Oryzias latipes: one gene and its partner. The main gene of each other region encodes a partner of the protein of the gene in region 2 in a complex. Links are inferred from orthologs where the notes say so. Each region holds a gene or a part of one and is shown on either strand. Other genes may lie near its edges.

Region 1 (4,296 bases), on a different chromosome or scaffold from region 2:
AGCATACTATATGGTCACATGTCTTTGCTAAATTCAAAGTGTTTCCACACATTGGACTGGAATGATGGACTGATCGTCACATACGTGTTGTCTGTTGTGATGGAACTTGGTTGTTTTTCCCTTATATCAAAATAAACCTACTGTGTTTCACTCCAAACAACATTTTCCAATATTGATTATCGATTGATCTCATTTTGAAGATTCCGGTCTGTTGAGGGTCTTCATTTTTTAAATGCATTTTGTTATTAACAGTCAGATTTTTTTAGGTTTCATTTGTTTAAACTGGTCTTATGCACATTTAGTGAGTTGTGGATTTCTCAAATAAACCATCAGTAAGTTTGATGAGTGGGCTGAACGGCGGTGAAGGGGTTATCTCTCTCACCTAACAGTGAGTGGTTCAAATCCCTGCCAGGACCTTTCTGTGTGGAGTTTGCAGGTTCTCCCGGTGCATGTGTAGGTTTTTCTTTAGCTTCCTCCCACAATCCAAAAACATGCTTCATAGGTAAATTGAAGGCAACCTGTCCGGGGTGTACCCTGCCTGTGCCCAAAGGTAGCTGGATTTGACCCCAGCAACCCCGGAAGGGATTCAGAAAAGGGTTGGATGAGTGCTCTTTCTCTGTTCTGATTTGTCAGGGCTTTCTGGTCCCCCTGGTGCTGGGAAGTCATCCTTCATTGAGGTAGTGGGGAAAATGTTAACGGGGCGTGGTCACAAAGTGGCTGTCCTGGCTGTTGACCCGTCCTCATGCACCACAGGAGGTAACATCTGACCACACTTTTTGTCAGAACTAATGCAAAGTTTGTCACGTTTTTTTTAAAGAGTTGACACCTTTCATCTACATCACAGTTTCATGAGTTCTTCTCCTAATTAGCTCTTTAAGCAGAAGTCATTCACCGACTCCAATGCTTCTGCAGGCTCCCTGCTGGGCGATAAAACTCGCATGACTGAGCTTTCTCGAGACATGAATGCTTTTATCAGACCGTCGCCGACCTCAGGGACGCTCGGCGGTGTCACCAGAACCACTAATGAGGCCATTGTTCTCTGTGAGGGGGCGGGCTACGACGTGATCCTCGTGGAGACCGTAGGTGAGCCTCATCCCAAATGTCCTTCCTCCGCCGCAGCATCATGTTTATTAGCCTAAAGATAATTGTAATGTTGTTTGGACGGCTTCATAAAAAGTAGGAAGTAGCTGTCCAAAAAGGATTCGCGGTACTTCTGACTCTCTTGCGGTCTTGAGTGAAACTATTAGGGACGAATTTGTGCCAGTCTCATCTGCGCATCAGAACTGCTTTTTTTTTTTTCAAGGAGGAAATTTATTCACTGTGAGGAATCTCAAGTTTGTCCAAGCTCATGATTATTCAAAAGCATTTTTTCAGCTTTTCAGGAAGTCTTGATTAAAATTTGCATGATTTTACTCTCACTGTACAGGCGTGCAACAGAATATGTGCTAATGTAACCGATCAGGAGACTTAATTAGATTGAGGAGGGGGGGTATGAATAAATTTAGATTGACATGATTTATTTGTTCATTTCTAGGCAGCAACAATATGTATATATATATATATATTTTTTTTTTTTTTTCCCAGGTGTCGGACAGTCTGAATTTGCTGTAGCCGACATGGTGGACATGTTTGTGCTTCTGATTCCACCAGCAGGGGGCGATGAACTCCAGGTGGGTTCGAGGAACATCACCTTTTTTTTTTTTTCCTCAAACCTCTGGTCTTGTTCAGCGGCGGACGAGACATGGAGCTTTGAGGGTTTATGTATATCACTCATGTTTGTTCTCTGTTGTAATGGCTGAAAATGAAACTGCATCAATTTATCATAATTGTATTTAACAACCTGGAGTTTAATGTAAAAACATCAGCGTTTGACTCAAATCTTTTTATTTCTGTCTCTCCTTCCTAATGTGATCAATCCGCTTTTTTAGGACCGCCCACATTGTCCAACAAGCCGTCACAAGAATCCAGAAGTTATTTTTTGCTCTTTTATAAAGCAACAGACAAGTATCTCATTTTTCTGACCTTTTATAGAAACAAACTTGCATTTATTTCTGATGCTTTGCTTTGCTTTCATGCAGACGTATTTGTCTTCTTCGCTCTCACTCTTGTGACACATAGGGTCATACTTTGATCAGGACGGCGATGAACGAAGCGGATAAACAGTTTTCGGTCAGAGTTGTCTGCCTGCAGATATCAGTTCTTTTGTAAACTGATCTTGCTTTTTTGTGCTGAGAACAAACATGTTTTTGTTTATTCATTGTAGATGTAGAACACAATGCCCTTTAACTTTCTGAATCCTACAAAATAGTTGATTTCCACTAAATTGATAGTCCAGGACGTGTTTTTCCTTCATCTTCTCTATAAAACCATCTGCAATCTGAAACATTTGACGTCTTTCTTTAAACCATTTCGAATGTTCATATATCTCTGATGTCGTTTCCTTTTTCTTCTATGCATTTTCTGGCCCTATATAACTATAAAGGCCCACAGTGCTTTACAGTCACAGCTCCATTCACTCACTGATGGCTGAATGTGCCAACCTATAACCACCAGCAGTATCCCCCAGATACACATAGTACAGATTTAAAATATTTGCATAAGTAAAGTGTGGTGAAGAACAACAGAAGAGCTGAAACATAAAAGATGACGTCTATAAACTGGACAGGCAGTAAAGAAACCAGACCTAAAGTGTGGTTTTAAAGCTTAGGTCTTTGTCCAGGGCATCAAGAGGGGCATCATTGAGAGGGCAGACCTGGTTGTGGTGACAAAGTCAGATGGTGACCTTGTGGTGCCGGCCAGAAGAATCCAGACGGATTACACCAGCGCGCTGAAGCTGCTGAGGAGAAGGACTAAATCCTGGAACACTAAGGTGTGTGAATTTGCTGGTTCAGATGAGACTTTCTTTTTTACCACTTGCAGTTTCCTGTTGATTATTTCAAACACACTGTGATCAGAATGATCACGACGGTGTTTCACCACACAAACTGCACTTAAACCGCACAGCAGCCTGTGAAACTGGAAGAGCTCACAGTAACATTGTGCTGAGCTGAAAGCATCACAAAAATCTGAAATCGCCGGCAGCTTCATCCTTCAGGGTCAGCCTTGTGTTTGTTATTTATGAATGTGAACCAGGCTGCCCCACAAGCAAACCTCTGAAATGGCATATCAGCTTTGTAAACTCTTCCTGTCCTGGGAAACAAACGGACAAAGGAAAACTCTGAAACTCCATCTTCAAACTCAGAACAAAAAATCCTGTTTTTTTAAAAGAACTTTCTGGTTGGACAGTGGAGCAGATTTCTTTCTAACTGTATTTGAAACTGTTCACTTTTGTGGGCAAAGAGAGATGATGTTTTCTGGTGAATAATAGACGTCAGCAAAAAGTAAAAAAGCGACTCTAAGATGAAAGTGCCATGCAGCCCAAACCTGGAAGACATTTCAGATGTTGGCAGTTCCCCAGACAACAGATTAGTTCCACACATAGAAGCTTTTTGTTTTTTGCGTTATCATACTGAGATGTTGGTTATGTTTCTGAAACAGGATCTACTTTGCAGGCCGTGGTCTTTCCTGGTCCCAATGTTTAAAGTCTGAATGAACAGTGACTTTAGTAAAAGTCCATTTCTGGTGCATGGAATAACTTTTTCTTTATTGGACTAAAGAGCAGTTCTCATTAAAGTGTCCTCTTAATGATGTTGACAGAAACTCTCTAAATCGTTTGTAATCCATTCTTTGCCAAACTGTACTTTACATTATGCCATTTATTATGACAAATGAATGCACTTAAGGCAGAAGCTCTTGTCAGCAGATTCTTGCAGCAGCAGGCGTTTTATGAACATTTGTAGCACAAAAGTGAGATGATCAATAAGAAGAAGCCCTTAACAAAAGTGAGGATGTAGTTAAATACCCTGTTTTATGAAACCCCACTTTCCCAATCACAAACTTCATCCAAAGGTGGTGCACGCCTCCTCCTACACCTCTGAGGGCATCCCAGAAGTCTGGGCCAAGATGGAGTCCTACAGGCACGCCATGCTGAGCAGCGGCGAGCTGCAGGACAGACGGAGGGCCCAGCAAAAGGTGTGGATGTGGACTTTGATCCAGGAGAACGTCCTCTGTCATTTCCAAAATCACCCAAAAGTCAAGGAGGCTCTACCTGACCTGGAGGAGAAGGTCACCAGAGGAGTCGTCTCTCCTGGACTGGCTGCTGACCTGCTCCTTAAAGCCTTCTCTGCACAGTGAGCAGCAGGCCGGAACGCCGTGGGATGCAAGCAGGTTTTGCTGCTGGTCCCAAGTTACAGAGTG
Region 2 (6,185 bases):
CTGTCGTCTTCCTGTCGGACTTGATGTGCGGATTAGCATTTACCTGCTCTGTCAGCGACCAGCCCGACGTCTGGCAGTGTGTTCGCAGGAGGAGGGACTTGGAAATCTTGGGCTGGAAGTTTTCTTTAAGGAGTGTGGCCCACAGCCTCCGGGCGGCTCTCAGCTTGGCTATTTCCATGTAGAAATTCATCCCGATGCCCCAGAAGAACGACAATCTGACAGAAAAATTCAAAAATACATCCTTTTTTAAACATCCTTATAGTAATAATTGTATTTATGAATTAACATAAAATGTAAACCCTTATGGGAATCTTTCAAAGACCCACTCTAATGAAAACTGTCTTTTTGAGGCATTTTTCTCATGATGTATAAAGAAAATTAAGCTTAAATTTGTATTTCTTTATTCAAATCATAGTGAATCAGCAGCAGAGGGGGAAAAAGCAGTTTTTGTGAAAAAATATGCACATTGGTCCCGCCCACAACTCACAGGTGAATTTCTAATGAACTCCTGCCGCTCTGCAGAAACTATGTCCTAGAAAATTTAAAATACCCCTAAATAAAAGACCACCAGGAATACTATAAATGGATCCAAAGATGATCTGAGTAAAGCTGTTACCCAACAGCTGCATAAATATATAACAGCACTTCACTTACTTTTTAGTTTAACGTTAAAACATAAAGTATTTAGAACATATCCTCAGTTTCAACATGGAAAAGCTTTTAACTTTATATCAAAAACGACATTAAATATTGCAAAGAGTAATAGGAACTAATCTAGTATATATGTGAAAAAGAATCCACAACAAAAAGTTCTAAAATGAGTAAAATCGACGGGGACTTTTCAGTTGCAGCTCCTAAACTCTGGAACGCTCTCTCCTTTTCTGTGAGGTCTGCCAGAACCATCAGGAATATGAAGACACTTTTATAAACTCAACTTCTTACTAAGGCTTTGAACTCCAGTGAGCGGATCTAGTGGGCCAGCTTGTTAGTTTTATTATTTTATTGCTTTTACGTTTTATTGCTATTGTTTCTTCATTCAGTCATATTGTTTGTGATTTTATTTAATTTTATATGATAAAAAGGAGTTTCTCCCACGTAAATGTAAAGGTCAGATCAGAGTCAGGCTGAACAAAGTCTAAGAAACCAATTATTAGGAAGATAATAAGTGTATGCGAGTCCTGATCAGCAGGGAAAGGTCAAGGACTGAAGCGATGGTCCTGAGGTTTAAGTTTGAGAACCCTGATGCATTAAAAGCTGCTGTTTTTGTGGAGTCGCATGTTTTCTACCAACTCAGATGCTATTTCCTTAGATGCTCTGTGTGATGTGGAGCAAATTCGAATAAAAGAGCTTGGCAGATTAACGGTGAGTAAAAGCAAAATTGGCAGTGGAAAATCACTGAAAACGCATGACTTTTTCAGCATTTTTCATAACTATAAAATGTTATACCACTGCCAGTGCGTTGCATCATCTGGACACATATTCATAGCAGACATGTCTGTGTTAAAACCAAAAACCTTTTGACTGAAACATTTCACAAGAGCAATCTGAGACGATCAGTGTTAAAGAAAAAAAGTCCAACTGGTCTGAGAAGCAGACAGATCGGCTCTGCTGATCGTCTGCTCCTGATTCACAACAATTTGAATAAAAAGAAATCCTCAGAGATGCAATTTTACGCTTGATGTTCTTTATGAATGTCCTCCATCATGAGGAGAATGCCACAAAAACCAAAAACACATTTTTTTTTATTGAAGTGGGTCTTTTAATAGTCTCAGTTGGAGATATTTTTATGAAGGAAAAAGTGTAACTTGGTTCAAAAAGGTTGAAAAAAACTGGTCTGTATATTTGATGATTCAACATACATCCACTTCTAAGCATATGTTTGCACTCATTGGCGTTTTGCTTAATTTTTGGTACCTTGGGGCAAATTCGTCGATGGTTAAACCTGCTTTCAGTCCCGTCCGGCAATACTCCAGCCCGTTGGCGATAGTGTAGGCCAGCTCCAGGATGGCATCCGCCCCGGCCTCCTGAAGGTGGTAGCCACTGATGGAGATGGAGTTGAACTTGGGCATGTTCTTGGATCAAGAAACATCGTTTTTTACATTTATGATAACATTATAAAAGGTACAAAATCAAAAGTGCTGCTTACCTTGGAGGTATAAGCAAAGATGTCGGCTATGGCATGCATGGAAGGTTCCGGAGGGAAGATATACGTGTTGCGTACCATGAATTCTTTTAAAATGTCATTTTGAATAGTGCCGGTTAGCTTCTCTTTGGGAACGCCCTGCTCCTCTCCAGTCACGATAAACATGGCCAGAACTGGGATGACGGCGCCGTTCATGGTCATCGACACGGACATCTTCTCCAGAGGGATTTCATCAAAGAGCAGCTTCATGTCCTCCACCGAGTCTATGGCTACTCCGGCCATGCCCACATCCCCGTGGACTCTGGGGTTGTCCGAGTCGTAACCACGGTGAGTTGGGAGGTCAAAAGCCACGGAGAGGCCCTGCTGGCCGGCTGAAACGACAAAACCAAAAGATGTCAATTTAATTTGGACTGCTTTACTTTAAATACAATCTTCAAAATATGGGAATATTTAGAAATATTTCTTCTATTTTTAAGGTTTCGTTAAATAAAACATGAAAGTAGACACACAATTATTGAGATTAATACCCCCGAAACAGGGCAGTTTGCACTTACTATGAATATTTTATTTACTTTAAAAAAAAATTATACAATGCCCATCCTTTAAGTGAAGACTATTTAAATACCTTTAAGAAACAAACTAGAATCATACAATTCATATTTTAGACACAACAATGGGACCCAAAATGCAGATTAAAATATCTAATTCCAATATTTGTGTTATATGAAAACAATATACCTTTAATGTTATCTTTATAGAATTTGTTGCTCTCCTCCACGGTGCTAAAGCCAGCATACTGCCTGATTGTCCATGGTCTGTATGTGTACATTGTGGGATAGGGCCCTCTAGTGTAGGGAAACGTTCCCGGCAGTTCATCAGCACGTCCCTCTGAGTCAGCCTGAGTGTACACCGGCTTGATGCTGATTCCCTCAGGTGTGCGCCATATTAGATCCTCTGGGTTCTTTCCTTTCAGCTGTTTCTTAGCCAGGCTGGCCCACTCCGGATGCAGCTGGGATCTGTCCCGATGCGACGAGGACGTGTGGATGAGACGGTGGCGTGTGTGGGACGAGGAGGCGGAGGCTTGAAGCAGGCGGCGGGCGGCTAGTGCTGCACATGCTTTGTGTGCAGACAGCATACTTACTGCCGGCTCAGAGATGACCTGAAATTACAGGGAGGGTCATAAGGTCATGACATAGGGACATGACCCATAAGGTCATCCCACCATTCAAGTGAACGAGCCATCATTTCTGCTCAAAAAGACATCATTACTACTATTTATAAAACATTGGTTGGAATATTTATACACTTCCTGTTTTTGATTGTTACAAATAGGAATATCTGCTTACATTTTCCAGAGATGGTGTTGTATTTTGTATATTTTAATGAAAAATCGAAATAATAATATTACAAAGCTACCTAAATAATTTTAGATGCTTAAAATGTGCTAACAATAAAAATGTAGCTTGCAAAGAAGTGTATTATCATGATTTGTGAAGCGTTTGCTCCCCGAATATACAACATTATGACAAACTGCGTCCAAAAAATACAACAACATGTGACAACATTACCAACAGTAATACATTTAGAGACTTGGCTATAAAAGAAATGACACAAAAACTAAAAGACAAAAAAATAAAAGACAAGCAATAAGAAAAACTAACCCGTGAGGGCTAAAGCTAGTCTGCTAACTCTACTTACTTTAGTCAACAAGAACCGTAGTTTAGCTTAAAAAACAACACAAAAACCAGTACGCAAACTAATAAATTTCTTATTTGCAAAACATCGCTTTAAAATAAAAAAATATATAACAATATTCTGACCTTGTAGCTTGTTTTGTTTTTTTCTTATTCGAGTTGGTAGAAGGCGTGCGTTTTCCTGTCCAATGAACTGTAAGCACACTGCGATCGACCAATCCCGTGCTGTGGTCACACGGCATCACCTTTGACCTGCGTCACCGGAAGTAAAGAACTACTTCCGTTTTACAGAAGTTTATTTTTCTAATACATAAAGCTAATTACACATTTGATAAACATTATAAGCATAAGAGGTAGAAAAAGAAATGAGTAAAATCCCTTTCAATAAATGTTTTTAAAGAAACTAAAATATATATATATTGGGTCTTTAATTATATGATAGCAATAAGGCTATTTAGTTTTTTATTTATTTATTTCTTCTAATAGGCAGATCCCTATTTTATTTCTATATTTTATATTTTTCATCTTTATTTTAGCTTTTATTTTATTGTTTTTTATTGTTTGAATTGCCTTTTTTTTAACCTCCAGTGACATCATAGATATGAGTTGATACCATATCATTAGAAATTTGAACAAGAGAAGGTAATTAATGTGCAAAAACAAATAAAGGAAGAACTTTTTATAACTTAGAAAAAAGTATATTGATTCTAAACTGCTGTTTGTGATTAAAGTTCAATAATACTGTGTCTATTAAACTGCCTTCTATTTTCCTTTTACTTTCAAGCAAAAAAATCAAAAACTTAAATAAAATGGTTGATAAATTGCTCAAAAAGGAGTAGGTAGAAGACAAATTGTATTTTTTTTCCCACCACTAAACTTACTATATTATATGCATAGATTATTACATATTATAATTATTCACATAATCACAAAAGAATCAAAGAATAAAAGCTTTAAGGCACCAAAACAACAAAGTCATAATAGTCTATACATTGTCCCATTAGGCTTCTCATTTTCTAAATCTTAATTTCCAAAACCTAAGTTTGTATCGTTTTGATATTTTCCTTCATGTTTTAAGTTATACTTTTGGAGAATATATGTACTGGAAATGCGATTTGATTCATCTTAAAATAAAAACAGGACCCAGACTTCTCAACACAGTACACCCCACTTTTATTTAGGTCATATTGGCTTGAGTGCTGTACAGTATTGGGTTGAAGTTGATCGGGTACACTTGCCGCAAATGTGCATAAAATTTATAAAATAAACTAAAGGTCATTCAGAGCATTCAGCAGGACAACACTTTATCAAAGTGACAATGCAAACAGTTGTGTGTATAATGCCCAGGTAATATACAGAGCAGAGATGTTGTATCTTGAATACATGTCCTCTTCCATTCATCATTTGGTAAGGCAGTTTGTTTCGATTAAGATGAAGAAATCAAAAATGGTGTAAAAGTCTTGGGGTTTCTTTGTAGCAAAATCTATAAGGACAGGATGGCAACAAAGCAGCACAGGACACATGTAAATGCTGAGTTAGAGGACCGTAGAGATCAAAATAAAGGAGGTGGCAACCAGGTGTGGCCCCCTCACTGAAACAACCTTTAGCGTTTTTCTGTTGCAGGCTTCACTCCAGCTTGAGCAGCTCCACGTCAAAAACGAGGGTGGCGTTTGGTGGGATGACCCCGGGATGGCCGGTGGCGCCGTACGCCATATCAGGTGTGCAGGTGATTTTGGCTCTTTGACCGAGGCTCATCTGAGGGCAGGGAATGGGAAAAGAACACAGAGCAATAACTTAGGAGAAGAGGTTCTCAGTTTCCCTGCAAGTGTTGCTATGAAAATACACAAAAAGAGTAAAAACGCCCCAGAAACTTTAGGAATCTAAAGATCAAACTCTTACTTGTGCAACTCCTTCCTCCCAGCCTTTTATGACCTCCATCCGTCCAATCTTGAACTTAAAAGGCTTGTTCCTGTCCCGGGAGGAGTCGAACTTTTTTCCGTTCTGTAACATGCCTGCAAAAATAAACGATAAACACTTTTACTATTTTATTTACCAGATTCTTTGCTGCAAACGCACAGCGAGTTCTTCTGGAGAGGTGTCTTCATCAGTTTCCTTGAATTACTGGGATGAACAAGTCAAATCAGGAAGCACTGGCCTGATTCAGAGCTTTATTTTTAACAGTGAACTAGGCCATTGTCAGGACGCGTCTAGACCACACGGAAAAAAGGAGAAGCACTGCAGGACTCGCCCCTGATAGAAGACGGCAGCGGGTTTTTTAGTTCATTTTTAAGACTATATATTTGATTTTTGTCCTGTTTAGAAGTTAATCAATAAAAGGGAAATAAAAA

Evidence for each region. Proteins that work in one complex are often made in the same cells at the same time.
Region 1: the proteins of mut (region 2) and mmaa are in contact, whole or in part, in a crystal structure (PDB 8GJU), measured with the Homo sapiens proteins. The link is inferred for Oryzias latipes from reciprocal best matches to the Homo sapiens genes MMUT and MMAA. Residues at the interface, in NP_000246.2 of Homo sapiens: Lys496, Glu609, Arg610, Glu611, Gly612, Arg613, Arg614, Arg616, Ala635, Thr636, Ala639, Asp640, Gly642, Phe643, Asp644, Val645, Asp646, Ile647, Gly648, Pro649, Leu650, Phe651, Gln652, Glu656, Gln659, Gln660, Val662, Asp663, Ala664, Asp665; in NP_001362573.1 of Homo sapiens: Arg98, Ala99, Ala102, Glu103, Thr106, Glu109, Ser110, Thr111, His112, Ser182, Ser186, Gly187, Gly188, Ser189, Leu190, Leu191, Lys194, Thr195, Met197, Thr198, Ser201, Arg202, Met204, Tyr207, Ile208, Arg209, Pro210, Ser211, Pro212, Arg214.

Annotation. Positions count from the first base shown.
Region 1 is NC_019859.2:18,378,748-18,383,043, forward strand, and holds part of mmaa (methylmalonic aciduria type A protein, mitochondrial), read left to right. Parts: intron 1-633; coding exon 634-756; intron 757-912; coding exon 913-1,083; intron 1,084-1,584; coding exon 1,585-1,670; intron 1,671-2,719; coding exon 2,720-2,869; intron 2,870-3,948; coding exon 3,949-4,233; 3' UTR 4,234-4,296. UniProt on the Homo sapiens protein: GTPase, binds and hydrolyzes GTP. Involved in intracellular vitamin B12 metabolism, mediates the transport of cobalamin (Cbl) into mitochondria for the final steps of adenosylcobalamin (AdoCbl) synthesis.
Region 2 is NC_019882.2:3,015,978-3,022,162, reverse strand, and holds the start of mut (methylmalonyl-CoA mutase, mitochondrial), read right to left. Parts: upstream 4,091-6,185; 5' UTR 3,964-4,090; intron 3,958-3,963; exon of another isoform or gene 3,842-3,957; intron 3,303-3,841; 5' UTR 3,279-3,302; coding exon 2,882-3,278; intron 2,515-2,881; coding exon 2,147-2,514; intron 2,073-2,146; coding exon 1,915-2,072; intron 216-1,914; coding exon 44-215; intron 1-43. Other genes in the region: peptidyl-prolyl cis-trans isomerase FKBP1B, read right to left, coding at 5,464-5,592, 5,737-5,849. UniProt on the Homo sapiens protein: Catalyzes the reversible isomerization of methylmalonyl-CoA (MMCoA) (generated from branched-chain amino acid metabolism and degradation of dietary odd chain fatty acids and cholesterol) to succinyl-CoA (3-carboxypropionyl-CoA), a key intermediate of the tricarboxylic acid cycle.